4 linked regions of the Arabidopsis thaliana genome follow. The protein of the gene in region 4 interacts with the protein of the main gene of each other region in a pairwise test. Each region holds a gene or a part of one and is shown on either strand. Other genes may lie near its edges. The genes, in order: AT1G10585, AT4G23050, AT4G18340 and SSP4.

What was found.
Region 1: the proteins of SSP4 (region 4) and AT1G10585 interact in a two-hybrid assay, tested with the Arabidopsis thaliana proteins (one large-scale study listed by BioGRID).
Region 2: the proteins of SSP4 (region 4) and AT4G23050 interact in a two-hybrid assay, tested with the Arabidopsis thaliana proteins (one large-scale study listed by BioGRID).
Region 3: the proteins of SSP4 (region 4) and AT4G18340 interact in a two-hybrid assay, tested with the Arabidopsis thaliana proteins (one large-scale study listed by BioGRID).

The regions. Positions count from the first base shown.
Region 1 is NC_003070.9:3,492,233-3,498,449, forward strand, and holds AT1G10585 (basic helix-loop-helix (bHLH) DNA-binding superfamily protein), read right to left. Parts: upstream 3,013-6,217; 5' UTR 2,873-3,012; coding exon 2,735-2,872; intron 2,453-2,734; exon of another isoform or gene 2,424-2,452; coding exon of another isoform or gene 2,382-2,423; coding exon 2,064-2,381; intron 1,973-2,063; coding exon 1,883-1,972; 3' UTR 1,538-1,882; downstream 1-1,537. Other genes in the region: AT1G10580 (Transducin/WD40 repeat-like superfamily protein), read right to left, coding at 1-1,433; AT1G10586 (basic helix-loop-helix (bHLH) DNA-binding superfamily protein), read right to left, coding at 4,899-4,967, 5,106-5,423.
Region 2 is NC_003075.7:12,077,307-12,086,531, forward strand, and holds AT4G23050 (PAS domain-containing protein tyrosine kinase family protein), read left to right. Parts: upstream 1-2,753; 5' UTR 2,754-2,805; coding exon 2,806-3,152; intron 3,153-3,343; coding exon 3,344-3,776; intron 3,777-3,885; coding exon 3,886-4,011; intron 4,012-4,114; coding exon 4,115-4,637; intron 4,638-4,764; coding exon 4,765-4,805; intron 4,806-4,894; coding exon 4,895-4,963; intron 4,964-5,055; coding exon 5,056-5,156; intron 5,157-5,281; coding exon 5,282-5,360; intron 5,361-5,451; coding exon 5,452-5,550; intron 5,551-5,636; coding exon 5,637-5,705; intron 5,706-5,801; coding exon 5,802-5,851; intron 5,852-5,957; coding exon 5,958-6,039; intron 6,040-6,115; coding exon 6,116-6,210; intron 6,211-6,305; coding exon 6,306-6,402; 3' UTR 6,403-6,950; downstream 6,951-9,225. Other genes in the region: AT4G23040 (Ubiquitin-like superfamily protein), read right to left, coding at 1-604, 1,233-1,316.
Region 3 is NC_003075.7:10,127,930-10,135,075, forward strand, and holds AT4G18340 (Glycosyl hydrolase superfamily protein), read right to left. Parts: upstream 4,264-7,146; 5' UTR 4,091-4,263; coding exon 4,018-4,090; intron 3,798-4,017; coding exon 3,461-3,797; intron 3,225-3,460; coding exon 2,516-3,224; coding exon of another isoform or gene 2,483-2,515; exon of another isoform or gene 2,391-2,482; coding exon 2,316-2,390; 3' UTR 2,121-2,315; downstream 1-2,120. Other genes in the region: AT4G18330 (Translation elongation factor EF1A/initiation factor IF2gamma family protein), read left to right, coding at 1-11, 95-658; AT4G18335 (uncharacterized protein), read left to right, coding at 940-1,434.
Region 4 is NC_003076.8:18,822,123-18,831,222, reverse strand, and holds SSP4 (SCP1-like small phosphatase 4), read right to left. Parts: upstream 6,121-9,100; 5' UTR 5,984-6,120; intron 5,308-5,983; 5' UTR 5,217-5,307; coding exon 5,051-5,216; intron 4,937-5,050; coding exon 4,806-4,936; intron 4,726-4,805; coding exon 4,644-4,725; intron 4,566-4,643; coding exon 4,071-4,565; intron 3,797-4,070; coding exon 3,459-3,796; intron 3,226-3,458; coding exon 3,067-3,225; 3' UTR 2,437-3,066; exon of another isoform or gene 2,333-2,436; 3' UTR 2,002-2,332; downstream 1-2,001. Other genes in the region: AT5G46420 (16S rRNA processing protein RimM family), read right to left, coding at 1-190, 269-379, 463-597, 714-853, 1,032-1,224; PRP39-2 (Tetratricopeptide repeat (TPR)-like superfamily protein), read right to left, coding at 6,701-6,766, 6,855-8,303, 8,397-8,546, 8,692-8,772, 8,936-9,055.

The sequences.
Region 1 (6,217 bases), on a different chromosome or scaffold from region 4:
TGGTTATCCAAACTCTGTGCAGCAAGCCAGTTTCCATTCGGGTGAACAGAAATGGAAGGCATAGAATGCATATGAGGCTCACTGATATACTTGATAACCACCGGGATCCCAAATTCCCAAACACGGAGAGACTTATCATCGCTCGACGTGACAAATCTTCTGTTATTGTCCACAAATGTGATAGTATTAACTGCCCCCAAGTGCTGATCATACTCTTGCGTAACCTCCCCCGTATTAATATCCCACTGCACAATCTTCTTATCACTCATACCAGCCAACAAAATGTTCTGCTTGTCATCATCCGGATTCAGCTTAACCACATACGGAATCTTCCCAGTGGAGAAAGTCGATATAACTTGGCCAGTTTCCGTGTCCCAATACTTAATGTTCTTATCATACCCAGCAGTCAAGAATTTAGACCCATCATTGGAGAAGCAAATATCCCTCACAGCTTTGGCGTGACCCATGTAAGTCCTCATACATTTACCAGAGTTATACACATCCCAAATCTTAACCTTACAATCCATACCTGCAGAGAGAAGCAAATGTCCTTGCTTTGGGAAGAACCTAATAGCGGAAACACCTTTCGTGTGCCCACTCCATGTATGAACCAAACGTTTTGGAATGTAGCAATGATCATTGTTCGCCTTAGCATCTTTAGGAGCCTCAATCCAAGACCTTCCTTGATAATCTTTCTCCTCTTTGCCATGGAAGGTACTCTTATCCGCATAATGCTCTCCTTTGGTTTCACCTTGTTGTCCCTTCTCCTCCTTCTTCTTGGCATGATCCTCCGCATACTTCTTCTGCTCCTCCGTCAACTCTCCCTGAACCACCTCCTTCTTCCTCGACCACGGACTCTTCCTATTCTTCCTAAGCCAAGCTTCCGTCTCCGGATTCTCAGCTTCCGGCTCAATCTCTTCCTTTTTCTCTTCCCCTTCCCTCTCCTCTTTGCTCCTCTCAATCTTCCTCCGCTTCTGCTCACTCTGAGGAATATTAAAAACCGAAAGACCATCGTTCTTCTTAAACGCCTCAACATCGCCGACGTAGTTCATCCCAGACGGATCCGCCGCGTAACCGCACTTATGAAACGTATGGTACTGCTCTTCAAACCCAAACGATCCAATCGAAGCATCTTCCACAGAACCTAGCTTATGATTCCGCATCCCTTGAGCGATCCCGTCTTTCGCATACGGATGCGCGGGGCCGAACATCGGAGCCCACAGCTGATCATGGGTAGGGTTATAAAAGACGACGTGTTGAGTCGGGTCAATCGGCTTCGATTTCGATTGATTCACGTTAGCCACCGTGAGAGCTAGTGCCGTATCGTCTACCTCCGGCGCCGATGATTTCGCCTTTAACATACGAGGCGGTGAAGATTCCGGCGAGGAAGCAACGGCTTCGTCTTCTTCTTCGTAGGATTGAATCAGATCCATCTCTCACGATTTTGCTCTCTTACCACAAGTGTTTGAGAAACTTTATACTGAGATTTTGCCTCTTTTCTCTTCGACAAGGGTTTCAAAATTCCTAAATCTAAAATAAGGGTTGCAATTTGTGCGATATTTAGATTTTCAAATATAGCCTCTTACTATTTTTTTCTTTTCACATTTACCCCAATAGTGTATTTTATTGACATTTACATCCCACTGTCTTACTCGGTGGTTAAAATTATGCAAATCTGGACCAATCTAAAATCACGCCAAGCCAAACTGAATTAAACCGGGATGAATAAAAACGAAACGACAACGTTTTAAGGTTTCTTATGTTGACGGTCAACATATTTATCATAATCGAACTCAAAAGCAATTACTCATCTCATATTTAAAGAACTAACACATGTGTGAAAAAACACACTAGCGTTAGCGTAGACTTATCATTTGGGATTTCATGCTTCAAAATATATATATCCATAGATGATTTTCCGTACTCTCTCTTCTATCCTTGATGGATCAATGCCAATCCGACTAATGATAGCCTGCAAATATATGTAATAAAAATTTATACGAAAGACATGACACATGCATATACGTGTGTATTATACAAACATATGCGTGTGGATGTGGTACCTGGGCTATGATTGTGTAAGTGGTCCTATCATTCAAGTTCTGAAGATTAGCACTCATTACTTGAGCTCCTTCTTCTTCAAAAATACTCACAAGCTCGTGTAACATTACTCTTTTCATGTTTAGATCCATGATCAGATTCATTTCTATGGTCGAATCCCGCGAACGAATACTGAGTTTGGGTAGAAGAAACGACCCTTCGTAGAGATTCCCGAGTTCTCCTTGTAACAATGTCCTTTTCTTCTCTTTCAAATAATTTACATTCTCTTTCAATTGGATCATGTATGATGTCGCTTGATCTATAAGGTGAGGCACTGGTAACTGTTTAGATCCCAAAAAAAACCCCAAGATAATTACTTTCATTAATCTTTTACATGAATGTGGTTATATTCAATATATATAAATAAACCGTAAAAACCCTAGCTACGTGAATCATTTATTTGTCAATTAGACACCGTACTTAAAAGAGAGCTAATATGGACGGTCATAGAGGGACAACTGCCTATTCAATTAATCAAAATATTATCTCTTTAGAATAAAACGTACATCTTACAGTAATTATGTAGATAATGTTTGTATTGTTGTATATACGCATAAAACACATCTACAATTTAATATAAGATATATATAGAGAGAGAAAGAGAGAGAGGGAGAGTTAGAGAGAAAAAACGGACCTTGCGAGTGGGAGAAACATGAGAAGAAAGTATAGAGAAGAGATGTTTCATGCGCATCCTTCGATCCTTCTCTCTGAGGTTTCGTTGTTCCCTTAACGACGATGAGTTTCCTTCTCCTATTTCTCTTGCTCTCCCCATTCTTTTTGTTTTCTTTTAAGCTTTTATGTACAAGTTTCTCTTTTCAAATCCATCTCTCTTTATATACAGTTAAAGAGATAGAGAGGGCCGGGAGATACAGAGTCACAAATCTCAACTTTGAGAGAAAGAGCTACGTGATTTAGATGAAAGGGATGTTTTGGAAGAAAGTCATGGCTTTTGTGATTGCGTCCGTGAGCTTACACACTAAATTAATAAGATGCATGCATCTTTCCTACCAAGTAAATTTTACTATTTACTTCGGAATTTCCACGTTCTTAAAGATACAAAAGTTTCAAAACAATTAGATATGTTGTTTATCATTAAAAAAAAAATTAGATTTGTTGGTGGGTTGACACATTACTAGGACGCATCATAATTTCGATGTAAGATTTCTAACGTTCAAAGACATAGTTTAGATAGCATCATGCTTACCGTGTGAGATGAGATTCCTAACGTTCAGAGATATGATTCTTCTTCTTTCAGATTACTAACCATGAGTTTAAGTCCTGTGATTTACAGTAGGTTTGGAGAAAATTATTATCAAAAATCATTTCAATGGCGTAAAATAGTCAACAGCCACGGTAGACAAAAATGAATTCCTTACAACAGTACTATATATGTTTCTATCAACAAATAGAAAAGGAAAATTGTTTTGTATACTGATAGAATCGGGACCACTAAATCAAATAGTATCATCATGTTCAATTAATTTGGTGCACGTATTCATTATCCGAGGAAAGTATCATAAGGCGCCATAACCTAAGATTATTCAACAAGCTATCATTATCATAGAAGAAAAGGACACAACACATTCGGCATTCCTTACATAAATTATTAAAGGCCCTCAACTCTCTTTGGCCGTATGGCCGACATCGTTCACCGGATAGGGGATCTACATGGACCGATCGTCTAAACGTTCACCGGAGGTGAATACAAAGACAGAAAATTAAACATGCCTAGTTTTGTTGAGTCTTGGAGTACTCCAGGTAGATGTTGGTCATAACTTTGCCACTGAGCAAACTGACATAAAAAGTAAAAGGAGCCGCAATATGATACTAACACTGTGTATATATCGTCTCGCTGCTTGACCACTTGCTTAGAAACTGAGTAAGGGACAATTATATCCTTATTGCATTTTCCACATGTTATTCTTTTTTTCCTTCTTCAAATATTTGAATTCGTACAAGAAGAGAATAGTCATTTGGTAACTATCATAATTCATAGCCATTGAAAATCCGTGACTAGAAATACAGATTAGCCCAATTTTAAAATGTTAAGCCTATAATTACTTGTAACTAATTCTGTGGCTAGAAAAGGATGATTACTTATAGTTAGAAAATTTGTAGCGAAATTTTTGTTATCGATCTATATATACTGTCCAATTTATATAAGACATTTAGAAAAAAAGATTTGTTTACTAGTTATGTCGTGTATATATACATGTTTTTTAAGTTTTAGTTAACTATATTCACATACAAAATCTAACCATGTGTGATTTTAGGAGAAAACAAAGATGAATGTCCTTGCTATCGCAATATGAAAAACTCCAAAAGTGGATCCAAATGCCTATGCCCTTGAACATGTTTTGAAGATAGTCATCAGATGCATAACATCTATCTATTCTATGTATGCAAATATCAATTACGACTATTTTAGACGGCGCCTGTAATAAAATATTTGAGCTTAAAATGCTCAATGAAAGAAAATTTGAGAGTTCTTGACAATAAAAGTAGATAATATATTTTATATTTAAACATGAGATTCTATAAACGTAATAGAGATTAGGCATAGAAAGAAAAGAGAAAATAAAGAGATTTTGAAGATGATGTGAGAGGCTTTTTCGTTCATATACTTGAGGAAATGGTATTCAGACATTTGATCATTCTCTTTAACTTAAACAACAATAGGGCTATTACACCAATTCACTCTTAAAAATACTCATAATCTCATGTTTAAAGAACTAACACATTTAATTTGTTAAGAAAAGACTTGTGATTTGGGATTCAATAATGCTTCAAAAAATTAATCATGAGATTATATCCCTTAATCTCTCTTCTATCCTTGATGGATCAATCCCGATCCGACATATGATAGCCTGCAAATATTCATTTAGGTGATTATTAATTTATCATATATATATAGTCCTTCAAAAAAAGTTCAAACTATATTTTAATGATATGGAACAAAGAGATGCTGCTAAAAAAAAAAAAAAAAACATGACACATGCATGTACCTGGGCTATGATTGTATAAAAGGTCCTATCATTCAAGTTCTGAAGATTAGCACTCATCACTTGAGCTCCTTCTTCTTCAAAAACACTCACAAGCTTGTGTAACATTACTCCTTTCATGTTTAGATCCATAACCAGATTCATTTCTATGATCGAATCCAGTGAACGAATACTGAGTTTTGGCAGAAGAGACGACCCTTCAGAGCGATTTTTGACTTCTCCTCCTAACATTCTCCTTTTCATCTCATTCAAATAGTTTACCTTCTCTTTCAGTTGGATCATGTATGATACCGCTTGATCTATAAGTTGAGGCACTGGCAACTGTTGGTGCCAATAAAAACACACAACCTAGTTACTTCCATGTCTTTTGTATGAATTTGGTTATAATCGTTATATGTATTAACTAAAATGTAATATACTAGATTTTAACCCGCGGTACACCGCGGGAACAATTGTTTTTTTAAATTAGTATATATAAAAGTTCGTAAATTATATCTATCTATAAAATATATTTATTTTACAGTTTACAACTGTTATTAAGTAATGTCCTTTCAAACCCGTCCCGCCAAACCCGTCCCGTAAAAAAAAACTACAGTACATCGTTGATTTAAATATATAATTAAAATAAATATTTTACGGGATTACAATTGTACTTTAGTTTGTCAAACAATTTTTGTTTTAAATAGTTGCCGAAATCTAGTTTAAATTTTGGAGAAATAAGATTTAGTGAATTGATAAAAAAATGTATTTAAGTGCGTTTTGCTCATTTTAAGGGATTGCAATTGTATTTTGGTTTGCCAAACATTTTTTGTTATAAATAGTTACCGACATTTAGTTCAAATTTTGAAGAAATCTGCGTGATATATGAGATTGTAATATATTTGAAATAGTTTTGAGAACGATGATTTTGTTACGTTTTAATACATGTACATTTTACTAACTGAAAATATGAGATTGATTATTTGTATAACACGGAAAATATGAGATTGATTCTTTATATTACAATGAAAATGAATGATTCAAAACTAAAGATCATAGTGTAATATAGTTTAGCTTAGAAAATAATTAAAACGATTTTATTTATTTATTTAGTTTTCTAAATTTTAGTTTAGATT
Region 2 (9,225 bases), on a different chromosome or scaffold from region 4:
CAGAAGCTTCTCTTTCTGAGGATGAAGCCTTCCAACCTTCACTGCGCAACACTTCTCGCTCAGCTGACTGCACTGTGACAGATTTTGTTACGTCATCACCAGTCTCCATTTTGGAGGCCTCAATAGCAGCTCGAATAATTTGTTCTTCTATATCATTGTAATGTTGCATATTATTTTCTGCAGAACCAACAGGTACAGCATGCCTACTTTGTCCGGTTGGAGCAGACTGATTATCATCATCACTTACTTCATCTATAATGACCGCCTCTTGGGCAGCTGGACCGTGAGCTTGAGCTGTCTCGGTCACATCCTCAATAGTAGGAGCATCATTAGATTGACCTGATGGCCCATTGCTGTCTTTAACCTCTATAGGTATCTCCCTGGCCTCCCTTGGATGACTAACAAATGGGGGACGCGACATAACAGGATCATTATCAAATAGACTTCTCCCAAAGTTTGGATCACGAAGCGGGAACGGGTCCGTTGTTCTAGCTTCAGAGAGGACTGGAGTCACACCATCATCTATATCCATTGCATCATATGAATTTTGATCTCCATGAGTAAAGTATGCATTCACAGCTCTATTGAGGTTCCCACGATACTCCTGCAATAATGATAGCATGTAAGTTTTGGCAAACACGAGGAACACCAGCCACACACAAAAAAAAAACTTACAAGTTATAATGATGCTGAGACAATAGAATAATGACTAAAAGATAAGAATGCACAAAGGACACAATAAAAAGTTCTCTAAACCCAAACTAAAATTGTACACAAGATGAGTTCTGAAAAAAAATTCATTGACTTCAATAACTAACTTAAACCCCACATGAATATCTCTAAAATACCAAAAATCCAGACCAAAATCCAAAAAAGAACAAAACTTTTCACAACTAATTTCACAATGAGCAGGTATAAACTCGTTTAGATATCAATGAACAATTAACAAAACCAATAAGCATGAGAATTCTGTAAGAAGTCCACATAAAAACTCAATCAGATAATCGGATAAACTAAAATTCAACACAATTAACTCCAATTGCGACCTAAACGCATCAAGATGAGCTTAACAACGATATAACAAAAGCGTAGAGGAGATATAATTCGATGATCCAACGAACAACCACTTGAGCGATTCGAGAAACTTCCAAAAATACTTCAATCAAAAACAAAATAACATCTAAACAATAGAAGGAAGACGGAAAAAACCCAGGGAAGTGTAATTGAATCACCTCGAGCTTACGAACGGCGACGGCATTGGAAGAGCCGGTGATGGTCATGAAGGTGTCAATAGCTTCCTGAGTAGGTGTCGCCATTAGAAAAGAGAAAGCTTGAGAGAAGTTTTTCGTCGGAGATTTGTGTTTGGAGCTGGAGTGAAGGAGGAGGCAAGAATTAATATATGTTGTAAATCACAAAAATTGCAGTGAAGAAAGGAATTGGATCGGTGACTCTTAAGATTTTTAAAGCCTTTTTTAGGGTCTTTCTTCTTTTCCATTTTTTTTAATTCTCCTTTTTTATTTGGTGTGGATTTTCTTAAACTTTATTTTCTTTATTCTTTTTGTATATTTTCGGTGATATTCAAGATATTATTTTCAGAGAACTTGAGATAATATATGGAGTGTCCTAATCTGAATAACTAAATAAATAATTATTCAGTTGAAATTGGATTTTTTTTTTCAGAGTCTTTATATTTTATAAACTGGAATTCGAGTCAAATTCAGAGTGGATTAAACTTATCTTTTTAGTTTTTACTAGCCAAGAACTTTTTGACCTTTTTTTTTAACATGATATTAATTGTTATAGTGTATATACATTAAAAGTTAGATAATTTTTAATGTACAAAAAAAAAGTTACATAATTTATTTTTTTTCACACCAATTACATATTTTATTTGTCAATTTGACAGTAAATATGGAAATAAGCCTTAAAATGTAAAGGCTTTTCGGTCCAACAACGAAAAACCAAAACCAAACCCAAAACTAAAATATCCAAAGATATCCTCACTTTATGATCATCCCAATCTTCCCTCTATATAGTGCCTTTAAAGGAGCTGTCATGTTCTCTTTCGGCCGTTTGTAATATAAGAATTGTCGTTTTTGTCCAAAAAAAAGGGTTGGCTTTCAGTTTGTGTCCCAGAAACAAAGTAAATCTTTAGATAAATTGAAACAAAACTAGCTTTGTGACTCCAATTAAACTTTGCTTCCTCTAAGAAACCTTATGGAGAGTATTATTCTACAATGATTTGAAGTATACTACTAATAATTGATTACATTTAAATTCAACTATAATTTATTGTTATTGTTCTTCAATCAACTTGAACTTTGAGTTTATTGGGCACATTACTTTTAGAGGAATGTGAATGTGAACATTGAAGAGACGTGTATTTTATTTTCTTCTTGACAAATACCGTTGGAGGTATAAAAACACCATCAAACTCAGGCCCATTTGGCAATGGCGGCAACAAGAATGGGTATTATATTGAGGTTAATTTCGTCAATCACCACTTTTAAATCGTGACAAATTCGTCTATTATCTCTCAATCTTCTTCAACCTTCAATTACATCGGCAATTCTACAAGTGGCAGCATCCTATTAGTAACAAACACACGTGGCGTAAGCTAATGCGTCGTAGTGTTTATAATAGCTGGGGTTTGTTAATTATGGCGTCACGAGTGATTTAAGAAGCAGCTGAAAAATAATAAACAATGAGGGAATGCCAACGTTTTAAATTATATTTTTAATTTGTGAATTTTCATCAGAGTCGGATCTTGATGCGACTGCTCAAACAGAGTCACCGGCGATTACGATGGCCGGAAACAACTCGGAATCGAGTCTCTACCAGGTTTTGGTGGAGTGGTGTCAGAGGATGGAGACGAGTCAAGCGAGACTAAGGGAGGATGTTGATGACTTATTGCTTCAGGAGGAGAGTCGAACCGGTAAGGAATCGGCGACGGGATTGGAGACGGACACGGAGAAAGAGGCTGAGGTAGAGGTGGAAGCGGAGGCGGCGGATTCCTGGGATAATCCGACGGCGACTTGGGAGAGAGCTGTTTCAGGATTCTATTTCGCTGATAGTGCGTATCGGACTTTGATGGATTCAATGGGACACGCGATTCATGTAACATCAGCTGCGTCTGGAGAAATTACATTCTGGTGAGCTTGATAAGTTCTTCTTCTTCATCTATGGTGTTTGTAGATCAGGAGCTTATAGTTCTTCTAAGTACTGTTTCATTGAATTGTGTGTTTAAGTAGTTAAACAAAGTTATATATAGCGATTCATTGTATATGCAAGTGGACATTTACTATTTGTTTCTGAGTGGAGAGATTCTTTTATTATTATTCAGGAGTCGTTCTGCTGAGAATCTGTACCATTGGTATGCTGAGGAAGTTGTTGGCTACAGAACTATTGATGTGCTTGTAACCGAAGAATACCGTAATTCCCTTACTGGTATCAGGAATAGGGTGTGCCGTGGAGAGACTTGGACTGGTCAGTTTCCGTTTCAGAAGAAAACTGGTGAACTATTTATGGCTTTGGTGACTAAAAGCCCTGTGTATGAAAACGGTGAGCTGGTTGGTGTTGTTACTGTCTCGAGCGATGCAACCCTTTTCAATAGGATGCATCCACTAAGTAATGAGCATCAACAACAAGCTCGTAGTAATAATAGACATGAATCAAACTTGAGAAAACATCAGTGGCACCTCCCGAGGCCTCAGATCGCTGCAGCATCACAGGTTCCAGTTGTCCCACAATATTCATCAGCTGTTGCTTCAAACCTGGTAGATCTCACATCATGAATGTTCGAAGTTTCTCAGTACTTTTTTTTATATAATAATTCGTGTGCAACATGAATGATTGTTTGTTTTGCTGTTTTCTGCACAAACCAAGAAGGCGTCGAAGCTTCTACCACAGAGAAATGGAGATGATTCCTTCAATGGAAATCATAATTCGAGGAGCCGAGATGAAAATGTTCCGGTTGTTGCCTCCACAACTTTCGAGAAGTATGGCTCACTGGTAAGTCTTCGTTGGCTCCTTAAACAAGACACTTCTCATTGACATTTCTTAGAACGATTATTGTCTCATGTTATAAGCTAAATCTGCATATACACTAGTGTAGGCGGATAAGTTTTTGGGGAAGCTGCAAAGGAAGATTACTGGCAGCCAAGGAACCGAAGATAATGAGCCTATCTTAAGAAACGGTATCAATAAGTCAGCATGTGGCAGTGGAGGTAGTTCTAAGGCTTCTAATGCAGTTACCTGCACGGCTTTCAGAGACAATGGCAATGGAAAACCAAAAAGGGCTGAAGTTAGAATTTCAGATGTCTATGGAAATGGAGCTGAGGGTTTGATACATAATGGAGATCGCTTTCAGTATATTGGGAACCTGGGACAAAGTAAACCTCCCAGAGGACTAGAGAGTGGTTTGGTGTCTGGCATGCGGGGAACAAAAATGTCGGACCTAAATGGTGAGATAGAAGATGCTTGGAATACTCGTCTTAGTGTTGATCCCTTGCCAATTCTAGGAGTCAACAGCGGTAGGCAACAAAGTCCTGTCAACCAAAGGAATAATAGATTAGTTACTGATTCGTCATGTGAGATACGATGGGAAGATCTACAACTTGGGGAGGAGGTCGGAAGAGGTGTATTTCATTTACCAAAGTCTTACACTCGTTTTCACGTTTTAGATATGCAAATTCAATTCAGATCTGTGTCATTGCTGTTTAAATCAGATTACAAGTATTTCTGATGCGTTACATTTTCTCACAGGTTCATTTGCTGCGGTTCATCGTGGAGTTTGGAATGGATCGGTGAGTTTTCTGTAATTTAAGATAAAATAAGGATGATTCTAGTATTAGTTGCACATGGATAACTAACTAGTCCAATCTATTTGGACCAGGATGTTGCTATTAAGGTTTACTTCGATGGTGATTACAATGCGATGACTTTGACGGAGTGCAAAAAGGAGGTATGTATAATTAGTTCTCTCTGTTATGAATTGTTTCTAGAAGTTACTCGTACCAGACAAAATAAATCAGTTTTGATCAATAATATCTTCAGATCAACATTATGAAGAAACTGAGACATCCGAATGTGCTACTATTTATGGGAGCAGTATGTACAGAAGAAAAATCTGCCATAATCATGGAATATATGCCAAGGTGAGATTATTGACGTATGGATCTGGAAGTAGTGTTACTCCTTATCGAGTGTGTTATATTATGCTGCAAGAAATTGCAGATGAATACTCTGTGCTAAGTTATTTCTATACGGTTTTGATGATTAGAGGGAGTCTCTTCAAAATACTTCATAATACGAATCAGCCATTGGACAAGAAACGCCGTTTAAGAATGGCCCTTGATGTTGTAAGACTCTGATCTTCCAAAAACCTCCCTCACAATGAAAGAAAAAAATATGAAAGGCTGATTATATTCGGGTTCTCTGTTGTTGTTGCAGGCTAGGGGAATGAATTACTTACACCGCAGAAATCCGCCAATTGTACATAGAGACTTGAAATCTTCCAATCTACTCGTGGACAAGAACTGGAATGTCAAGGTACAAACAGTTTTCTCAAGTTACATTTATGAAGACTTGTAAAATGAGTTTACTATTGCATGGACTTTCAACTCTTTCTTCCCTAGGTTGGAGACTTTGGGTTATCAAAGTGGAAGAACGCAACCTTCTTGAGTACTAAATCCGGGAAAGGAACTGTAATGTTTAACAAAAGCCATTTCTGATTCTTTTAATCCACAAAACAGTCTTGGATTTCTGTTACTAAACATTGTTCAACTTTTTTCTATGTGCAGCCGCAGTGGATGGCTCCTGAAGTTCTCAGAAGTGAACCTTCGAATGAGAAGTACGTTGGATATAATATTAACCCTTTTTTGTTCTCTTTTCGAAGACATTATTCAATAACTTGAACATTTTTTTGGACTAAAAGCTCAATGCTTTCGTTGTAATAGGTGTGATGTGTTCAGCTTTGGAGTCATCTTATGGGAGCTAATGACTACGTTAGTACCATGGGACCGTTTGAACTCTATTCAGGTACCTCTCAAATTCTGTTCTTATGAGATTATAGCTTGATCATAAGATTGTAGTAATCTTAGCAACTTTAAATTAGGTTGTTGGAGTTGTTGGTTTCATGGATCGACGATTAGACTTACCTGAAGGATTAAATCCCCGGATCGCATCCATAATACAGGATTGTTGGCAAACGTAAGAAGACGCATCTGTAAATTGTTTCATCAAATACACCCTACAAACTTAGGGGCGATTTTTCTTATATTCTTTGTTCTAAATTGTTGAAACAGTGATCCAGCAAAACGACCGTCGTTCGAGGAATTAATTAGTCAGATGATGAGCCTGTTCCGCAAACCAGGGTCAGGTGCGCAAGAAGAAGACGATTGAGAAGGTAAACAGTACATGGTTAAAGGATAGTTCACAAAGCAAAGGACGTGAAAAGAAAACGAAAGCATCGTCCTGATCACTTACTATACAAATGTTTCATTGTGTTATACCAAACTACTATTTATGTTTTCATTGAAAGAAAGAAAGCAAAAATAGCTAAATCAAAGTAATATACAGTAGAATCTTAGGTTAGTTTAGTTAAACTATGCATTATATAAACTGTTGTCGGTTTATGAGCTAAGTTGTAAAATGGGATCTAAAAAGGCAGAGGCGCAGAGGCCAGAGGAGGACTCAGATGTAATTTAAGAAGTAAAAGGGTGAAAAAGAGAAATACGAGAAAAACTGTGAGATTGATGGTGTCTTGTAGTGAATTGTAATGTAGTTGGTTTTGGTTTGATGGGGTAAGAGAAGGAGGAGTGACAATTCGTAGGCATTGCTTCTTTTGCTTTAATATTCTCTTATTACAGCTTCCCATCACTGCGTCGTCTGTAGCTTCTCAGCACCTAATTATAAGAGAGAGTCAGAACCCTAAATAAAACTTTTTTTTCAATCCTTATTCGTAATTCCACATTACAGCATCTTGAAATTGACGCAGTCACAAAAGCATAATTAAAAAAAAAAGGATACAAAGATGGGTCTATTATACCGAGTATGTATTGTGCATGCATGTGACGTGGGTGAAGGGAACTTCTCTTATAGAAGTATTGAAAAAGGAGAAATTTTGGGGGATTGAAAATATTTGTCTGTTTGTCTGGTTAGGTCAGAACAAATCACATCGAGCTGCATAGTAATATTTCGTTTACAACACATGGTTGTGACCTCTAGACAAATAAACTTTTTAACAGTTTTCGCTGTTTTGCCTTGCATGTATTTCGTAGTATTTCAATTTATATGTAACTATATTTCAATTGAAACATCTTTACCATATTATTTTCTTTTTTGATGCCAATTTCTTTACCATGTGTTTGCTCTTGTGTTATTTATGTGTGATTGATTGATTGACCGTGTCGATTACCCAAGCGGAATCTTGTAAAGGGATACTCCGTCACCGTAATACAGTGACAGCATATTTAATTTAAAATAATATAAAGTCATTGTAGGATGGAAAAGTAATTTCTATGATATTTTCTTCCGAACATTATAAAATTTATTTTGTCAGAAGTAGAGCAGATTAAAGTTTCGAAGATGGATACTTTCACTTTTTTCTTGTAAGATATTGATTAGGTATGATTGAGGCTCATGATACGAAATAATGTCAGTGTTGAACTACTAATTTGTTATGCTTGAAATGCTTTTTTATAGGTCAGTAGGTTTTTTTATTTTATTTTTAGGCATATTTATTCTGGTTTAGTTTAGTTAGTTGGTTTCTAAATTTTCCTTACGACTAAAAAATCTAATCCCAAAACCAAACGAAAACAAGAAATAATAAATCGAACAATATTTTTAATAACAAATAGAATATATATATATATATATATATATATTATATCAAATTATTCCAAGATAGAGTTTTTCAGTTCATTCCTAGTTCCTACTCATATATTCTTAATTTCTATTATCTCAAGATTTTATCTTGTCCTCATATCTACGAATTGTATGAAAGGGTTTAATAACCATAATCTATTGCATTGTCCTATCTACGTACACCATAATCGCTTGTGTTGGTGGATCTATAGTAATCTAAACAATTTTTTATTTCCATGGCGTGAAAGTTTGAGCCAACAACTAACGATATTAATCGTACAAATGAGTTTCATATTTTTTTTTGCAATCTCATTTCAAAAAGTGAAACCAAAATTTGGATGCTTCTAATTAACCATAAGATTTTTTATTAGGTGCACCTAATCTTGTTAATAAATTATAATCTTCTTTGATTAGTTATGCTCCTATCCAGATTTCATGCTTCAACTCTATGATTGATCAACTTGCATTATTACTGTACCATAAATACTTTGCCAACGAATGTTAGTTGTGGGGGAAACAACAATTCCGCTGGTAATTTTGACTGAATTAAAAAATTAGAGATAGAATGCAAGGAGACACGTACGAACGAGTTCATACACGAGAAGCAGTTGACCAGAGTCAACAAACCTGTAAAAAGCTAAAGAACCACCGTCCACTCGCAGTCTACTATATACGACTAACTAAGATTCATGCAGGCTCAAGTTTTTGTACTTGTATGACACGTGGCTAGATCGTAACGGCCGTTTAGACTGATGTCTCTTCGTCTCTCCGAGTCTTTGTCCTGTCTTTTTCTCATTGCATGAGACATACCGAAGATTCCAGTGGATTAATTGTCGGTCCATTTCTTTTTTCCTTTTTACTACTGACTTCGAGTTAGATTCTCTAAAGTAGTACACGTGAACCATAGGATTCGTTTATGATTACATAAAACCTTTGTTAGTAGTGTTTGTTCATTTCTTAATTCTGGTTATACATTTGAAACATATGCAAATTTATCACTCGACTTATTAATCCTAAGTTCGTAACTAAGTTCTTTTTGGTTAATTAGCTTATATACTTCTCAAGATTTCTGATTCTGACTTATGCTATAAAGTATATCTTCGATAAGTTGAGTCGCATCTCTCTCCTCGGAAAATATTCTTGTATTTTGGACAAATTTCTCGTGTATTGTTTTGATATTTTTGTGGTCATGTTGTTTTGTGAATTAGTATATAAGTAGATAAACTACGTAGTTTTCATTCGTACAACTATATAACCAATCGTATTCGACGAAATAAATAGTCAGAAAATATTCTATTTGTTATGCAATAATATCTCACTATACAGTCCAAAATATTAACCTCCATATAAATCTGATAG
Region 3 (7,146 bases), on a different chromosome or scaffold from region 4:
GTATCCTCCAGGTATGTTTTTATCTCTCTGTTTCTCCTCTGTTCTTACCTGACTGTGAAACAATTTAGTATTAATATGTGTCTCTCTTTGTTTGGGTGTTTTGAAAGTGAACCAACTGATTGAAATTAGACCTGGTATCACTGGCAAAGATGAGCATGGAAACTCAAAATGCACTCCAATTTACTCGCGTATAACTTCACTATACGCGGAACAGAACGAGCTTCAGTTTGCTGTACCGGGAGGTCTAATCGGAGTTGGAACAACCATGGACCCTACGCTTACGCGTGCTGATAGGTTGGTTGGTCAAGTCCTTGGTGAAATGGGTACTCTCCCTGACGTCTTTGTTGAGCTTGAAGTAAGTTACCAGCTTCTGACTCGTCTCATTGGAGTGAGGACAAAGGAAAAAGAGAAGCAAATGAAAGTGTCAAAGCTAACCAAAGAAGAGATATTGATGGTGAACATCGGGTCTATGTCTACGGGAGCTAAGGTTATTGGAGTCAAGAAAGATATGGTGAAACTCCAACTGACGTCTCCGGTGTGTACCACCATAGGAGAGAAGGTTGCTTTAAGCCGACGTGTCGATAGGCATTGGCGTCTAATTGGTAAGGGTCAGATTATGGCTGGAACCACCATCGATGTTCCTCCTCCTCCTTTCTAATGAAGTAGTGATGAGTTTTTTATATTGTTTGCATTCAAAAATAATTAACATGTGCCTTTGTATGTTTAATCACTTTCTTTCGACTACAATATAAAACTATATTCATATTTAACACAACATTGACGAAAATTTAAAAAACAAATTCATAATTTCATTAATGATATTACTTATCACTAATTAGGAATTATATAATTCTAATTCCCTCCTCGTTCTGAGCTTTTGTTTCATCTTTACGCTCTCTCTTACTCTCAGCCAAAACCCTATACTCTCTTTCAATCCCAATGGAAGATTTGGTTTTGATGAAACAGAGTCTTCTAAAAAGCTTCATCGTCTCTCTTATTCTCACTCTCGTCTTCCTCATCTCACCATCATCATCATCTTCGAATCAAGAAACAAGAGTATCATCAACACAAAAAACGGAAGCTTATCTCAACGGTTACGAATCACCGCACCAACTCGTCTACATCAAGAAAACGACACCGTTTATCTTGAACCAGCGGTTGCAACGAGACAACCACCGTCGTCGTCGTTACAATCACCAATACTACTACTACTATCGACATACTCTTCGTCATCGCCGTGGTCTTCATCATCGTGCTGGCTACTTCAAGATGATGGCCAAGAAGAATAACGGTTTAAACCGTCCGGTTCGACAGGATACTTTCTCGGTTATGCTTCCCAAAGGATTCGTACCTCCTTCCGGTTCATCTCCATGCCATAACCAGAACCCTAATTCCGCTACTACTCTCTTTTGCGATCTTTCTACACAACCCTAGATATCGTTGCCGATACGTCGTACGTGAAACGATTTTGTTCCTCTCGTCGCACTTTTGTATTTTTCATCTTTTAAAGATTTTTTTTTCTTTTTTGTTCGGAATGACCGGTGCATTGATCAGTGCATTTTTGACGGTCAAGTGTATGAAAATAATTTGCATACTAATGTTTGATTGTTCGTGTCCTTTGATTTTTCAGAAAGTACTTATTTTTCCTTACGTGCAGCTGAATTATTTTATTCTATAAAACTAAACTTGACTGATCGGTAAAATAATATATGGAGAGAAAAAAGCATATGTGTCTATGTTTTCAAGGTCAAAACGCATCGTTTGTGGCAAGAACAAGGGAGTATATTGAGCCGATATAATTGGAAATGAGCATGTGAATTTGCATCGTGAGCATAAGCTCTTGTTTCATGGCTTTTTTTTCTTAGCTTCAGTTCCAATTCTTCGTACCGTCCACTCCAATGCATATGTTTGCATTCTAATATCTATATTATATAACTAGCTAGGGATTGTATTTAAAATATCCAACAACATATACAAATGAATTAAGCTATGCCATATTTCTTGAATTAGAGGGAAAAAAATATATGGTTGATTCTAAACCGCTACTGGTTATCGATTATATGCCTTTTGGTCAAAGTTACTACTTACTCAAACCTTTTCATATACGACAAGTTTTTCTTAAAAAGTAAACTTTGTTTCTTTATTATATATGTCAATTACTTGTTAACGACAACAATAAATTTAGAATTTTCACTATTGACCGACTTCATTTGAATGTTGAATTGAATATAAATTATATTTATCAAGCTTATAATTAAATTGTTTACATAAATATCCTAAACAATCGCGTTATTATATTGTCAATAACTTTTCCTCTAAAATAGTCTCAACATTACAACTTGAACCATCGCCAATATCAAAATTGTCCAATACTCCAAGCTCCTCTTTGCCTGAAAGAAGAAGAAAACAGAGAATTAATTCATTTTGCACATCTAGTCCTTTCACAAACTTATTCTCGTCGTGGCCCCAATAATTCCAAATTCTAACAAAATTCACCACATAATACTAATCGTACCTTAGTGGCAGAGGATGAATAAGTGACAGATTCTGAATTTGCCGTCGTTGTCGACATTGTAGAGAATCCCAAATTGTAAGCTAATGATCCATCTGGTTGGAATATACCGTAGTTTTTCTCCGAAGTAGGACCTGGTTTCATATCTTCATTGAACAACGCAAATATATAAACATCGAGTCTTGCATTCCGTCTCGCTGGAGTTCCTTCTCCGGCGAATTGCCTCATCATAAGATTCCGGTTATACGTGGCAGCATTCACAGGAGACGCTCCAATCTCTCCGACATCTCCTTTTGAAGGCCACCCTGTTTCCGCAACCCTAACTTCTATGTTACGGTACCCTAGTTTCGCAGCCGCGAAAGCAACTGCGTCAACTTGAGCATACATCATGTTGTCGTAGTGTAGTCTTGTGTTGGGATCGGTCATGCCGATGTTACGGTTGAATAGAACGTAATCGACTGGGATTTCTTGTGGGTTATCTTTGTAGGCAAAGTAAGGGTAAGCATTTATCCAAAAAGGAGATTTCGTGGCTTCCAAGAAATCTAGAAGTTGTTGCATCACGGAGGAAACCTCCGGCTTGAAACTTCCGGCAGATGGAGGATAAGATTCACCGAGGACGGCAAGAGAGCTTGGAGACGAGACTTGAATGTATCTATCTAAACCTAATTGGACCAAGGCTTTGTGGATGTTGATTATCGCCGGCATCATGTATCTATTACCAAAAAGAGGAGAGAATATAGTCAAAATTAGCAATTATTGGACAAAAACTATTACACTCATTTCTTATTGAAATTCAAAGTGGAGTTTAATAAATATAATATTTTTTTCGAAGGAGTTCGTTACATTTGACCAAGTGGTAGTCAAGAAAATGTGAAATCAGTTAATGAAAAAAAACTAATTCTGTGATCATGTAACAAATTAGACTAATATTCAACGATTAGTACTTACCCTATTAAACTAGAGTCGTCGTCGGTGAAAAGCTCGTTTCCGACCATAATTCCGGTAATCCTAGTGGCCGGAACATAGGGTTTAATGTGAGAATCTACCCATTGGGTAGCTTGTTGAGGATCTTGTAGTAATGGTAAAACCTGATTTTCGATGGTGACGATGATCTCGATGTTTGAATTTGCAAAGGCACTAAGGATTTGAGGGTTAGTGTCGTAAATTCTTGTTTTTGTGATCCTTAAAGATCTCAAGAGGTTAATGACTTTATCCGGTGAAGGCAAATTGTTCCCAACTTGTCCGTAATTGATGCCAAGAGACGTTACTGTTTGTAGTATATTCCCTATATTTCCAAACAAAGAATCGAACTTTTAGAAAACAATGCCAAAAATCTTTAATATTCCATTAAACAAACATTGAAAAAATGAATTCTAGACTTATTATCGATCCGTTATTTCACTATGTTAAAATCTTACACGTTGAGGTTTTAAGGCGGCAACGTAAAGCATAACTTAAGTGTTAAGAATTTGGTTTTAAAATTTCAGAATGAAAAAGAAAATAACCTGAGAAAACGAGAGAAAGCAGGAGAAAAACATGAATGAGACTGGAATGTCTTGTGAATGTTCTTGATGTCATGTTGAGGAAGAGAGAGGGAGGGAAAGAGATTGTGAAGGTTTTGGGTTTTAAGAGAAGTGTTTAATGGAATATTTATAGACATACACAATAAGCCAACCAAGGTGAAGAATACTTTTCTTCGCTTGTTTGTTTTTTTTCCGTGTTTTTTGTTGTGAAAAGGTTTAGTGTTGAAGTTTATGTTTTTTAAAAAAAGTGTTTTTAAATTGTTTAGCTTTGCCTCCCTATATTGCTTTTCTCATTTATGCCTTTTTTATCCACTGACGGCTTTCTATAAACCACAACGAAGGATTTCTTATTAAAGAAAATTATTAGGTTTTAAAATATTTGTATGTAGTTATTTATCATATAGCTAGATTAATGCAGACTCTATGACAAGACAATTTGCATGCACATGTATGGAAGGAAATACGTTGTTTGTGTGTTTCGTTTAATTACATGTACTATACAAGTGGTGTTAACTGTTGGGTTGGTAAAAAAAGTGAGCAATGTTATTAAATTAAGAAGAGATTGGGATACACATAAGTGGACGTGTATAGAATATTGAAGAAGTTTCATAAAGCACCGGAAAATATTAAAATATTCGTTTCAATTAAGTAGGTGAGTCGTGACTTAAAACAAACTTGTACTATACACCAAAAGTTTATTCTACGATAATCATGGAGAAAAAGACGTGGTATAAAAATTAATATTAACACAATGAAATTTTAATAGATAATCATGTCTTGTAGAATAATCATGAAAGGTAAAATATCAAATTTTCAGCTAAAACTTCATGACAAAAGAAATTTTATAATGGGTTATTAGTCCCACAAAAATGGTCTTTATTTTTCTTATTAACTTTTACTACTATTAATATTATTATCTAATTTATCTGAATCATTGATTTTACTAATCACGTGTTAATTATGATTAATTTAATGCTAATTCAAATTCGAAGAATAATGATTACATTTTCGCATGAATCTTGACCGCAAGTGTATCCTAGCCTAATTAATATGACAAACAAACCTTACTATATTTCTTTAGACAAAAGCTAATTGGAGATCCGATTTGACTTGACGTGTCAAAGGATTCAATAGTACACTGAGGAAGCCTCCTCCGTTTCTCCTTTAAAGTTTAATATTTTCAAATCTCCCGGGAAATATAATACATACAAATAAACATATATCACATATTTATTTTCTTTTTGTAATCCGAGGCTTTTGGACGGAAATTCATACAAGTCCTCGAAAGTTATCAAGAACGGGATATCCAAAATTGTATTCGTGAAAGATATATAAGTCGTAATATAATTTGCCATTAATTGTCAAGAAAAAATCTCAAATATATTGTTATTCGGATTAAGATGATAGAGAAGGGATATACTTACTTTCCTTTAGACAAAAGGATCATGCTTAATTTTGAGGCACTTGTAAAATAAAACAAGACAAATATGATAATGTATAAATTGACAAATAACTAAAAGCATTAGCATAACAAAAGTAAAATAAAATGGTCAATTGGGATAATGTTGCTAATATGCTTTCGAGGGGAATTAGACAAGTTGGCGGGGCAGTGTCACACACTTGGAGCCGTCGGTCAATTTCAACCATCGGTTGTTTTTTAATCACCTGACATAATAAACCCCAACAAAACTTATTTAAGAAATAGTAAGTGCTTTCGCTTGGTTGGCTATTGATTTGTTAATCAATTAATTTCTACTTACTATATTTTTAAATGGTAAAATATAAAGGGTTAAACTTGATCACGTAGACGATAGTCAATTCGTTTTCTCGAAAGGTTGGCTAGCCAGAAAATTACATTAATTTAAAGTGGAACTTTTGGCTGTATTGATCTAATCCAAAATACCCTAGTGTCTTCTTTTCGATTCTATAATATTAAATCTTCTCTCTTTTTCACGACACCAAGAGCCATTTTATTTGAACACATGTATACAACTTATAAGAAATATACCCGTCTCAAGCTATTGAACTTGTTGCAATTAAAAATGTAATCGTTCGATGTTGGAATTAAATATGTGGAAAGGAGTCAAAATCAGTCAATTATTCAGAGTGGCCTGTTTATAGTTGGCTGAAAACTTTTAGTTCGTCGTTTAAAAGTTTGATTTCGTGGCTTAGGATTGACCACCGGTCGACTTATGGCAGTTCCATATAGATTAATTTGATAATGACGTAACTATATACCATACACGGCCGAACAGATTGTTTTATATAGGCCTATATGTGTAAAGTTAAAGATAATTTGATTTATTATCGAGTATATGACACAAGTTTTAATTTATTTCTAATGTTTAAATTTAATGATTCTGGTTTAGTTCTTCATGAATATGATCTAGTTTGTTAATTATTTACTGAATGGACATATTTTTGGTTGCAGAATATTTCAAGTTTACGTTATCTGTGGATATTTTAATGTCCAAATCAGAAAGATCATATAATTGTCCAGCAAGTTTGAAACAGCAGACAGAAAAAGAGAATGATTTTGTTTTAGCTCGGATTGAAAGAATATGCCATTTAATCTGCAATTTATTTACAATATCGAATATGCAAATAAAATGACATGAAAGCTTTTTAAAGCAACACAAGTACTCAACGATATCAATGTTTTTGAACAAAGGTTAAGTTTCTTCAAAGAAAGGGTTTAACCCTTTTAACGCATGAAAAATAGAGTATATATAGGGTTTACTTGATTCGGATTTCCATGTTGGACATTTGCAAATGTATGATGCATCACACCCAACTGTGGGAATTTGATAGTGATAGGTAACTAAATTGGTTAACCATTTCCAACTTGGACCATGTGCGAATTGGTTTGAAGGTGGTAATATTAAGGTACCTTTGAATTCTCCCGCATGAATGATTCGGGAAGTGTTATAGCGGGTTTCTTAAAGAGAACAGTGTAGATAAGGGAGAAGATTGCAAAATCAAAAAAAAACAAAAAAAAAAAAAGATTGCAAATTTTACCTACTGTTTAACAAATGGATCAGGCCAAACCATCATTAAACATGCTTGACAGGTCTAGGTTGGGTTGGACCGACATGTTTTTTTTTTTACTTA
Region 4 (9,100 bases):
TTATATACATCTCCTTTCTTTCCAAATCAACATCAGGAACAATTGCATCTACAAAAGGTATCCAAACAAGCTGATTGGTCTTTGCATTCCCATTGCAGACTTCCATGGATGAGTCAAGCAAAACATGTAGAAGATCATTTCCTCCATTGTCGAAAATATTAGCAACAGTTCCAACAAGTTGACCGGTCTCCTGTATATGATAACTGATTTAGACCCCAGACTTTCCCATTTTCGATATATTATACAAAAGGCAAAAACCCAAATATACCTTGAGAAGAACTCTCATGCCTACAAGATCTCGAGAGTAAAATTCTCCTTCATCAAGCTCAGGACGATCATCGTCCTCAGCAAGCAGAGTTGCACCAACGAGTTGTCTCACCTGAAGGAAACGGAAACCCCATCAAATGTAACAAATCATTTTCAAATGTGTCTTTTAAAATCTCCCATGGATCACTACACTACCTGATCAACATCGTCCAACCCTCGAAACTTAAGAATCCAACTCTTCTGCGCAGGATGAGGTCTTCCTTCGACTAATTCAACCTCATCAATCTTATCTTGTCCCAACAATTGTTGTTTTAACCATCTTCTACCAGGCTAATGAAACAATCAAGCCAATGGTAAAAAAAAATGTCAAATTATACATATTTGTTTTTCAAGAAAAGAGAAGAAAAAAAACACAAACTTTCTTCAAATTTCTATCCTTTGAATACCTTAGAGAAACGTAAATCAGGAAAATCAGTGTTTGGTTTTATGCAAATCTCGCCTTGAAGGCCATGAACACCAGACAAGAATCCAACCTCAACCAAATCCAATCCACTGTTACTACTAGTTTCAACAGCTTCATCAGTAGCTGAAGATCAAAAAACAAAGAGAGCCAAAGAAACAAAAATTAGAATCAATTCAATAATACAGTTGCTAACAGCTTCTCAAAACCCAAAACTTCTTAAGTTTCCACACCTTGGAAGAGAAAAAGACAGAGACCACAGAATCACAAAACAAGGATAAACCCAATAAAAAAAACTAGTTACCGGTGCTGCGAGTGAGGAAGCTGGATTTCCCACGAGCTCTCAGGAGACTCAAGTGACATTTGGTACGAGACAAAGCCGAGACAGGACGAGATAGTTCGAATCTTGGGAAACGATGGGAACTATTGGGATTGAATAGTTGAATTGGTGTGAAAGTGATTGAGGTCGAAGAACAGAGCAGCGAAGCTCTCAGCATTATCTCTTCTCTCCCTAAGCAATGGATACGACGAATGTCGCAACAACAACCAAAAAAAATCCCAGCTTTACTGAAACAAAGAAAGACTCTATTTGATCCGGAGGGTTCTCATGTTCATGGGGGGTCCATGTCTCACGTGTGAGCACTTAAGTTTGGTGGAGTGGCTCGTTGCCTCGTGCCGTGCATTGCCTTTGGTTTTTATTAGCCTCAAAAGTTAAAAGCAGAAGTGGTAGAGATTTGATGGGCAATAACATACTTGACTGCAGTTCAACCTATGCTGCATGACATTCATGTGAACATGTCATGGTAACTTTGTTTTGTTATGTTACTGTTTTTGTAATCCCCGAGAATGTAATCGCATTGCAAATAAGATAGCTCATCATATTTTAACTTTAGAGACGGAGGCCTAGTTTTGTTTCGTTTTCAATGAAGAAGGACTGTTTGTCGAGCTTTAAAAAACAGTGTTGTCGGGTAGCCTTCATAGGTTGTAGATAGGTTCCTGTTTCCTAAGACTATCAAAGAACTTTTATATATTATACTGTAAAAGTTTCTATAGATTGTAGAATTTCTACAATGTAATACATCATTCATATATGAGCAAAGTATACTTGTATGGGAAAACAAAGAGCCCGCGAGACTGCGACTAGTTTTTAGGAGCTCTTGTTCCTAGAAAATTCACTGAGGATAACATCAAAGATCAACACACTACTTTAAACCAGTCACACAGCACATAAATGTTAAACCGAGGAGAAAACAAACCAAGCTCAGAAACTGATAAACAGCAATTACTGACATATACTTTAAACAATCATCTGTGACTAAACGTGTATAATATATTAAGACAATAACCTGTTTACTCTACATGAAACCAGGGGGAGAAACAGAGGGACAGAAACAGGTTTTGGACCAAGTTAAGCAACAAGATTGTGAAACAGCTTTCAGCATAAAGATTACAAGGTTAGAGAGGACGGAAATAAGAAACAAGAACAAAAAGAAGCTTGTTAGACCAAAAAAGGGACAAGTAAATAAGGATTTAAAACTTACCTACTGTTGTCATTTCCATAAAGCGAATAAATATAGTTAGGTTCGTTACTTCATTGGATGATATCTGCATATAAGGCATGCAAAATCATGAAAATTTTAATGAATATTATAGACTATTTGTATACCATGAGCTTGACTCGATCATTGGATATTCAGAACTCCTCCCACCTCGGAGTATGATATCTCATTGGAATGTTGCAGAGCCAAGAGACGGAAAACGTGGAATAACTTTGCTCAGAACCTTAAAAATAAACAATAGAAGCTGGTAGAAGATTCAAGATTCAGACTCAACAACTTCTGCATTATTTGATTATATTTCTGTATTTCTATGACTGGCGTTGACGCAGGTAAATATGTTCTGGATTTACCAGTCCAAGTAAGAATTTCAAGCTCAACTAAACAGTACAAGAGGAGTGCAAAGAGAGACACATGAATGCAGCTGGTGTTAACTTCCAAAATGATTTCACGCAATAGTAACTCATTTGTACACATCCATTATCTCAGCTTAACCAACTGTACATTTGTAACAAACTGCAAGATTTTCTAGGATCTATCTTGGCAGAGAAGAACCAGCAAAGTCATAAGATTTAAGCCCACAACTAGGTCTTCTATTAAAAAAAGGGAGCAAGCAAGGAAACTTATTCTCACTAGACTCAACGAGCTTATTCTTTGGTTACCTAATTAACGACCTAAAAAGAGATATGAGGAACTAATTAAGGGCCAATTTGTAACTAAAATCCAAAGGAGAGAAATCAGGATCTGCACTCGATGTATATAGAAAAAAAGAGAAGGAAACTCTTATTCCTTGTTACCAAATCTCCTGCCAATGATAGGCCGAACATCATCAGCAACAGCCAAAGTCTCTAAGAAGGGAAGTATAGTAATCAACCCATCATCAGTTGGATCATCGTACCAACTTTTGATAGGGATCCCATTATTTATTTGCAATCTGTACACCTGAAACAATTAACAAAGAAACAAGTTGGATAATCAAAACGGGTACATGTATCATTATACACCAAGAAAGTTTGTAATTTGTAATGTGACAGATATTCTTCAAACTGAAACTGATGGTGGGGCCTTTCATCAAATTAATAGTGTTCTCAGTAACAGAGTATATAAAACATCATGAAACATCAGACTTTAATGAATAATGTTGAGACCCATGAGCAGATCTTAAGATAAAGTACCTGCGGACAGTTGTCAATTATAGCCACTTTGGCCAGATCAAGACCCAGAACAGTTAAATCCTTGGTGTAAATTCCATCCAAAAGAATGCATGAATCGCGATAAAAACGCTGTGATATGAACTTTCCATCTGGGTCCAGTATATCTAGAAGTTGTGAGGCATAGATGCTGTGGCTTGCTGTGAAGATAACGACATGAAACAACTCTCCCACCCTCTCCAAGAACCTGTAAAGGTGTGGCCTTTGTCTCACATAGACCGTGTTTTCTTGCATGTTGAAAAAGACTCTGAAGGAAAAATCTGCAACATTACACGATTCCAGAGTCGAATGGACCAAAGTTTCTGCATTTAAGGAAAAGAGAATTTGGTAAGCTCAGTAGCTCATCTACCTTAGAGGTAAGAGAAACATAAAATTTAACAGTACACAGACATAAAAATGCTTAACCATATTTCCTCAAAAGGAAGAAATAAGTCAGTTCACCTTCTGTTTCTAAACATGATTCAGTATACAACATCAATTTTAAGGAACAACTGATATAATGAACGAGCACAAGATGAGAGAATAATGTAAAAGGAGAAATCAGACTCCGACAATAATTAAATTAGGGTATCATACCATCCAAATCAAGGACAAGGGTCACAGACTTCTTTCTTAGGGTATCCCGAGGCCAATAATTGGATACAACATCCGATAATTCCGGCTGATTTTTTATAAAAAGCTGAGGATCAAAGTCTTCAGCTACTTCAGATTCAGCACGATCATCTGGTTCCACATTGTACGATCTTGTCCGGTTGAATGCCAGAAACAAGTCATGGTTATCGAGATTAATCTTGTCAGTATCTGACTTAATATCATCTTTGTTGGCTGATCCATCTTCTAAGTAAGGTAGTACCATGTACTGCTCAGGAAAGATGTAATGAGGCAAGGGGCTTATTTCAGTGAACGCATCGTTGTTTCCACTCTCATCAAACGGCAAGCTCGCAATAAGAACGTCAGAAATATAGAAATCAGAAACGTTGCACGTTTGGTTGTCAAAGCAAATCTTGTTGCTGCTCTCGTCGGCTCCCCACCTGGGGGTTTCCCAGATCACAGAATTTCCTGCTGTAAATACTGAGGAAAGAAATCTATTAGCTTATTATATGTCAAACAAAGGATACCTTATACCAAAACTACAACAGGAACATGTACCTCGACCAGTTCCATCCAGTTCATCATTCAGAACAGGTGAAAATATTGTATCTGAGTTTGACATGTGATTGCAAGCATTTTCCTGCACATAAATGTTAAAACCACAATTAAAAAGTTGCTCTCCAGTATCCTTGAGAATCAGCTCCAGATATCCAATCTTACCATATTTTCGACAGATTGAGAACCATCGACCCAAGGTGCAAACCCCTGAGACTGAGAAGTATCTTCAACAAGCATTTCAGCGGGCTCATTAGTTTCACTCTCCCGAGAAAAAGTATCCAACCCTGAAGAAACTGACACAATCATCAGAGAGAAGAAACCAAAAAATGATTGATGACACAACAAACTCAGATTATCTAAATCAACAATTTGAGAACACAATACTTAAAACAAAGAAAAATCATTACCAGGGTGCTGTTTCTCATCGTCGTGGCAAGTAGTAATAGCTGCGGTTATGCTTTCCAAGTCTCCTGATATTTTGGACAAAGAGCAAGAATTTCTTGTACTTGCTTTATGTTTCTTACAGACACCAAGAACCTTGCTTATCTTGCTCTTCATTTCTATATATGGCATTGGCTCTGTACACAGAATTATAACGACCTTGGATCAAGCACATTTAGGTGCACACCGAGACTTTAGTGAAAGACCAAACCAGCAGAAGATGCTGCAAAAAAAAAAAAACAGAGCCCATCACGATCAATCATTTTAATACTTCAAACCCAAAATCCAAAATCCAAAATCCAAAAAGGAGATCAGAATCTACACAGCATGGACATGGAATCTCGGATCATGGAGACAAAATCGAGAAGACAAACAAACCACAAGTCAACCTATCAGAAATAGCTAAACCCAGAACCTTAACACATAAAAAACCTAATTATAATTCACAAATAGTTCTCTCTATTCAAACTTACATTTCTCTACCAAAAGTAAAATTCCAACTCCAAATCAAAGATACACTAACAAAAAATCAAGTCATCGTTATGCGAAATTAGAGAGAAATAAAACAAATTAGCACACAAAAACGAAATTTCGATAGAATCAAAATTCAAACATAAACTCACCACAAATAAACGAAGCTGAGAACAAAAGTCACAAAACCAGCACAAATCCAAAAAAAAAAAAAAAGGAAACTTTTTCAAAACCCAGATGAAATGGAAAGTTTTTCTAACAAATCCAACAAAATCAAAGCATAAACAACCACAGAATCAGAAATCGAAAGTCAAACAACACAGAAGAAAACAAAAAACAAAAAATGTAATAAGAAAAAAACGAAATTTCCAGGTGAAGACAAAGAAGAAGAGGAAGGAAGCGATCAAATTTGGGGGAAGAAGACGGACCTGAGAGAGAGGAGAGAAGAAGAGAGCTGTTTCGTCGTCGTCTTCTTCGTCTACTTTGTGTTTGTGTTGTGGGTCTCTCTCTCTTCTCTCTGGGCTTTTTCTTTCTCTCACACAACTTCCACGAACGGTCAATAGAGAATGATACAAGCCTTATGACGGCTCTTTATTTCATCTAATCGACGGCTACGATTTGTTCCTTTGGTGGGCGCTTCTAATCCAATACCGAACCAACACGTGTTATAATAGACCAGCTGGACGACTCACCCACATAATTTGACGCGTGTTGAAGCCCCTCGCTTTTTTGAAATTATTTTAAAATTTTAGATTTTTTTCGAGATTTGGAGCAAAACAGAAAACAGAAACTTAAAATAATCACGAAAATACACCAAATACTTTTAATTGCTACTGTTCCGTCCTTTATAAAATCGCAACCGGAAAAATAAAACCAAACGAAACCGTTAAACCAAAATCGAATTGATTTTTTTTTTACACCATATCAGTTGATTTCTTCAATTACAATCGATAACCAAAACTCATTTAGTGCACACAAACCAAATTGAACCAGATAAATAAATAAACCGAAGTGAATTAAAATTAATTGAATACTAAATTGGATTGAAAACCAAACTGAAATTGAAGTTTATGTAACATTTTTTTGTTTTGTCTCAGGCTTTTTAATAACACAATCAATTACGTGTCCATCGGCTTTCATGAGACTCATATAGAACTGATGGAAGTGTCAGAAGATAGATTTGCTTCATTGACTGCTCCAGATTCTTGACTCTACAAGAACATCTATTCTTAGTAAACAGCTTAAGTTGATATAAAATAAACAATTTTGAAGCAATCATGTTTGAATTTTTAAGCAAACCTTTTGAATATCACTGTTTGTTGTGGAACCCTGCGGCATAGAGAGTCTTTGTTCATCGCCTTTTGCTTCTCCTTGCAACTGCTGTTGCTGAATATAGAGAAGATACTGCTGTTGTTGCCATTGCTGTTGCTGTTGGAACCACTCTTGTTGTTGTTGTTGTTGCTGGAACTGAATTTGCTGCTGATTTTGTGGTTCTTGACTCTGTTGCTGTGTATTGACCTGTTCCACCTGTTGTGGTTGTAGATACTGAGTTTTGGCTTGAGACTGGTACTGTTTGGAGAGAAGTTGCACAAGATTCTGATCTAGTTGTGGCTGAGGGTTCTGATTTGGTTGAGGCTGTTCAGACATAAGCTGTTGCTGTTGCTGATAGTAATAATAGCTATAATAATACTGTTGCCACATCTGGTTATAAGCTTCATGACTCTGCATCTGACCTTCTTGTTGGTAGTTACTCTGCACTGGATTCTGAGGAATCTGAGTTTGAGGATAAGCAAAGGATGTTTGAACCTGAGATGTAGAGTTTTGACATTGGTTCTGCGGATTCTGTGACTCTGGAGGGGATACAATCATGTGCTGACCATGTATCTGAGATTGAGGATAAGCATTGGATGTTTGAACCACAGGATGCATCTGAAGTGCAGAGTTCTGAAATTGGTTTTGCGGATTCTGAGAGGTTGAGCTTTGTAGCGCTACTCGATTGTCTTGATGAGTAAAAGCCATGTGCTGACCAAGAATTTCACGACCAGTTCCGACTGGAGAATATGGCATCTGAGGAGGTCTCTCTTGAGAACGAGGTTTTGAATCTCTGTGCATCTGGTTTAAATCTCTTCTGTGGTACCTGTTCCGACCAGTTTGCCTGAGAGACTCTTGACTTTGGTAACTTTGGGGACTCTGTGAGCCACTAGGTTGGATCACTATAGCATCTGACTTCACAGTATCTACTGAATTGGACGAGAAGTGAGCTTGTTTAGTGACAAAACCATGTTCTGGTGAGGCTTGGATCGGTAGGCTAACTTCATGAGAGCGTTTACCACCTTCATTGGCTTTTAATCCCATGGACAGATCGCTCTGTGACTCACACAAAGTCTCCCTCTCAATAACATTATCGTTTCCTTCAACTAGATGTCCAGAAGTCAGACAGCCCTGATTAGGCTCAGTGTTTACATAGTCAGCCCGTACAGCATCTTTAGATTGGGTACCATAAGAGTCTAGAGATGACTCTTTCTTTTCTTTTGGTGGTGAATCGACTATACTGCTAATGCCTTTGTTTGTTAATAGGTCCTGATTCAAGCGCTCTCGAGTCTTCTCTCTTCTCTGAATCAACTCTCTAAATAAATTTCCTGAAGGACGGGACCCACGTAACTTGGCTCTAGCAGAATGTGGGAATAATTTTATGTGTCGACCCAAAGCCTTCCTCACATCATGGATGGTTCCAGAGAGATCAATAAACTGCTCAAATCCAAGAGCAATTACTATGGGGGGGAAATGAAATAGACAAGCAAAAAAGACCACAGAATCTCCTATCTGTAAGAAAAACCTCACCTCCATGTATAAATTTGATATTTCTTCTTTGTCCTCTGCGCTTAGACCATCGGAGGAATCTGCCTGATGAGATAATTCCTTATCTATGATAGGATCTAACAAATCCACTTGTCGAGACCCTCCATGCATCATCAAGAGTCTCATAAGTTCCTGTTAGCGCAAAGATTAACAGTGATTGAAGGTTAAAAAAAAGGTAACAGACGTTAACAGAAATTCAGTGGAGAAATATGATTTCCATGTGAGAAATTATGATTAGAAGTTTAAAGAGATTCAAAATGCCAGCCAATTAACACACCTCAAGAAGTAATTTGCAGTGAGGAACATTCTCATTGCCTTCTAACAGAATCTGAGCTGCATCATCAGCACTATTTGTAATCTACAAAAAGGAAGAAAACCATAAGATAATGAAAGAATTCCAAAATTGTGATACATTGAAGGTAAGGTAGTGACCCAAAAAACAGTTCCCATAGCTCTAAATCTTGACATGTTATTAACAGAACTGAAATGAAAACCTTTTTGAGTCAAGACACATTACTTACCACGTACTTGAGGCGAGAAAATTGAACATACAGCCGGGCGGTGGTTTCCAAATTTTCTTTTCCAATGAGCGTTTTATTCAGAGCTTCTCTATACGTGGTAACAGCAGCTTCAAAATTACCCTACATGGAACACTGCATAATTAGATATCTTGACCACTGAGACAT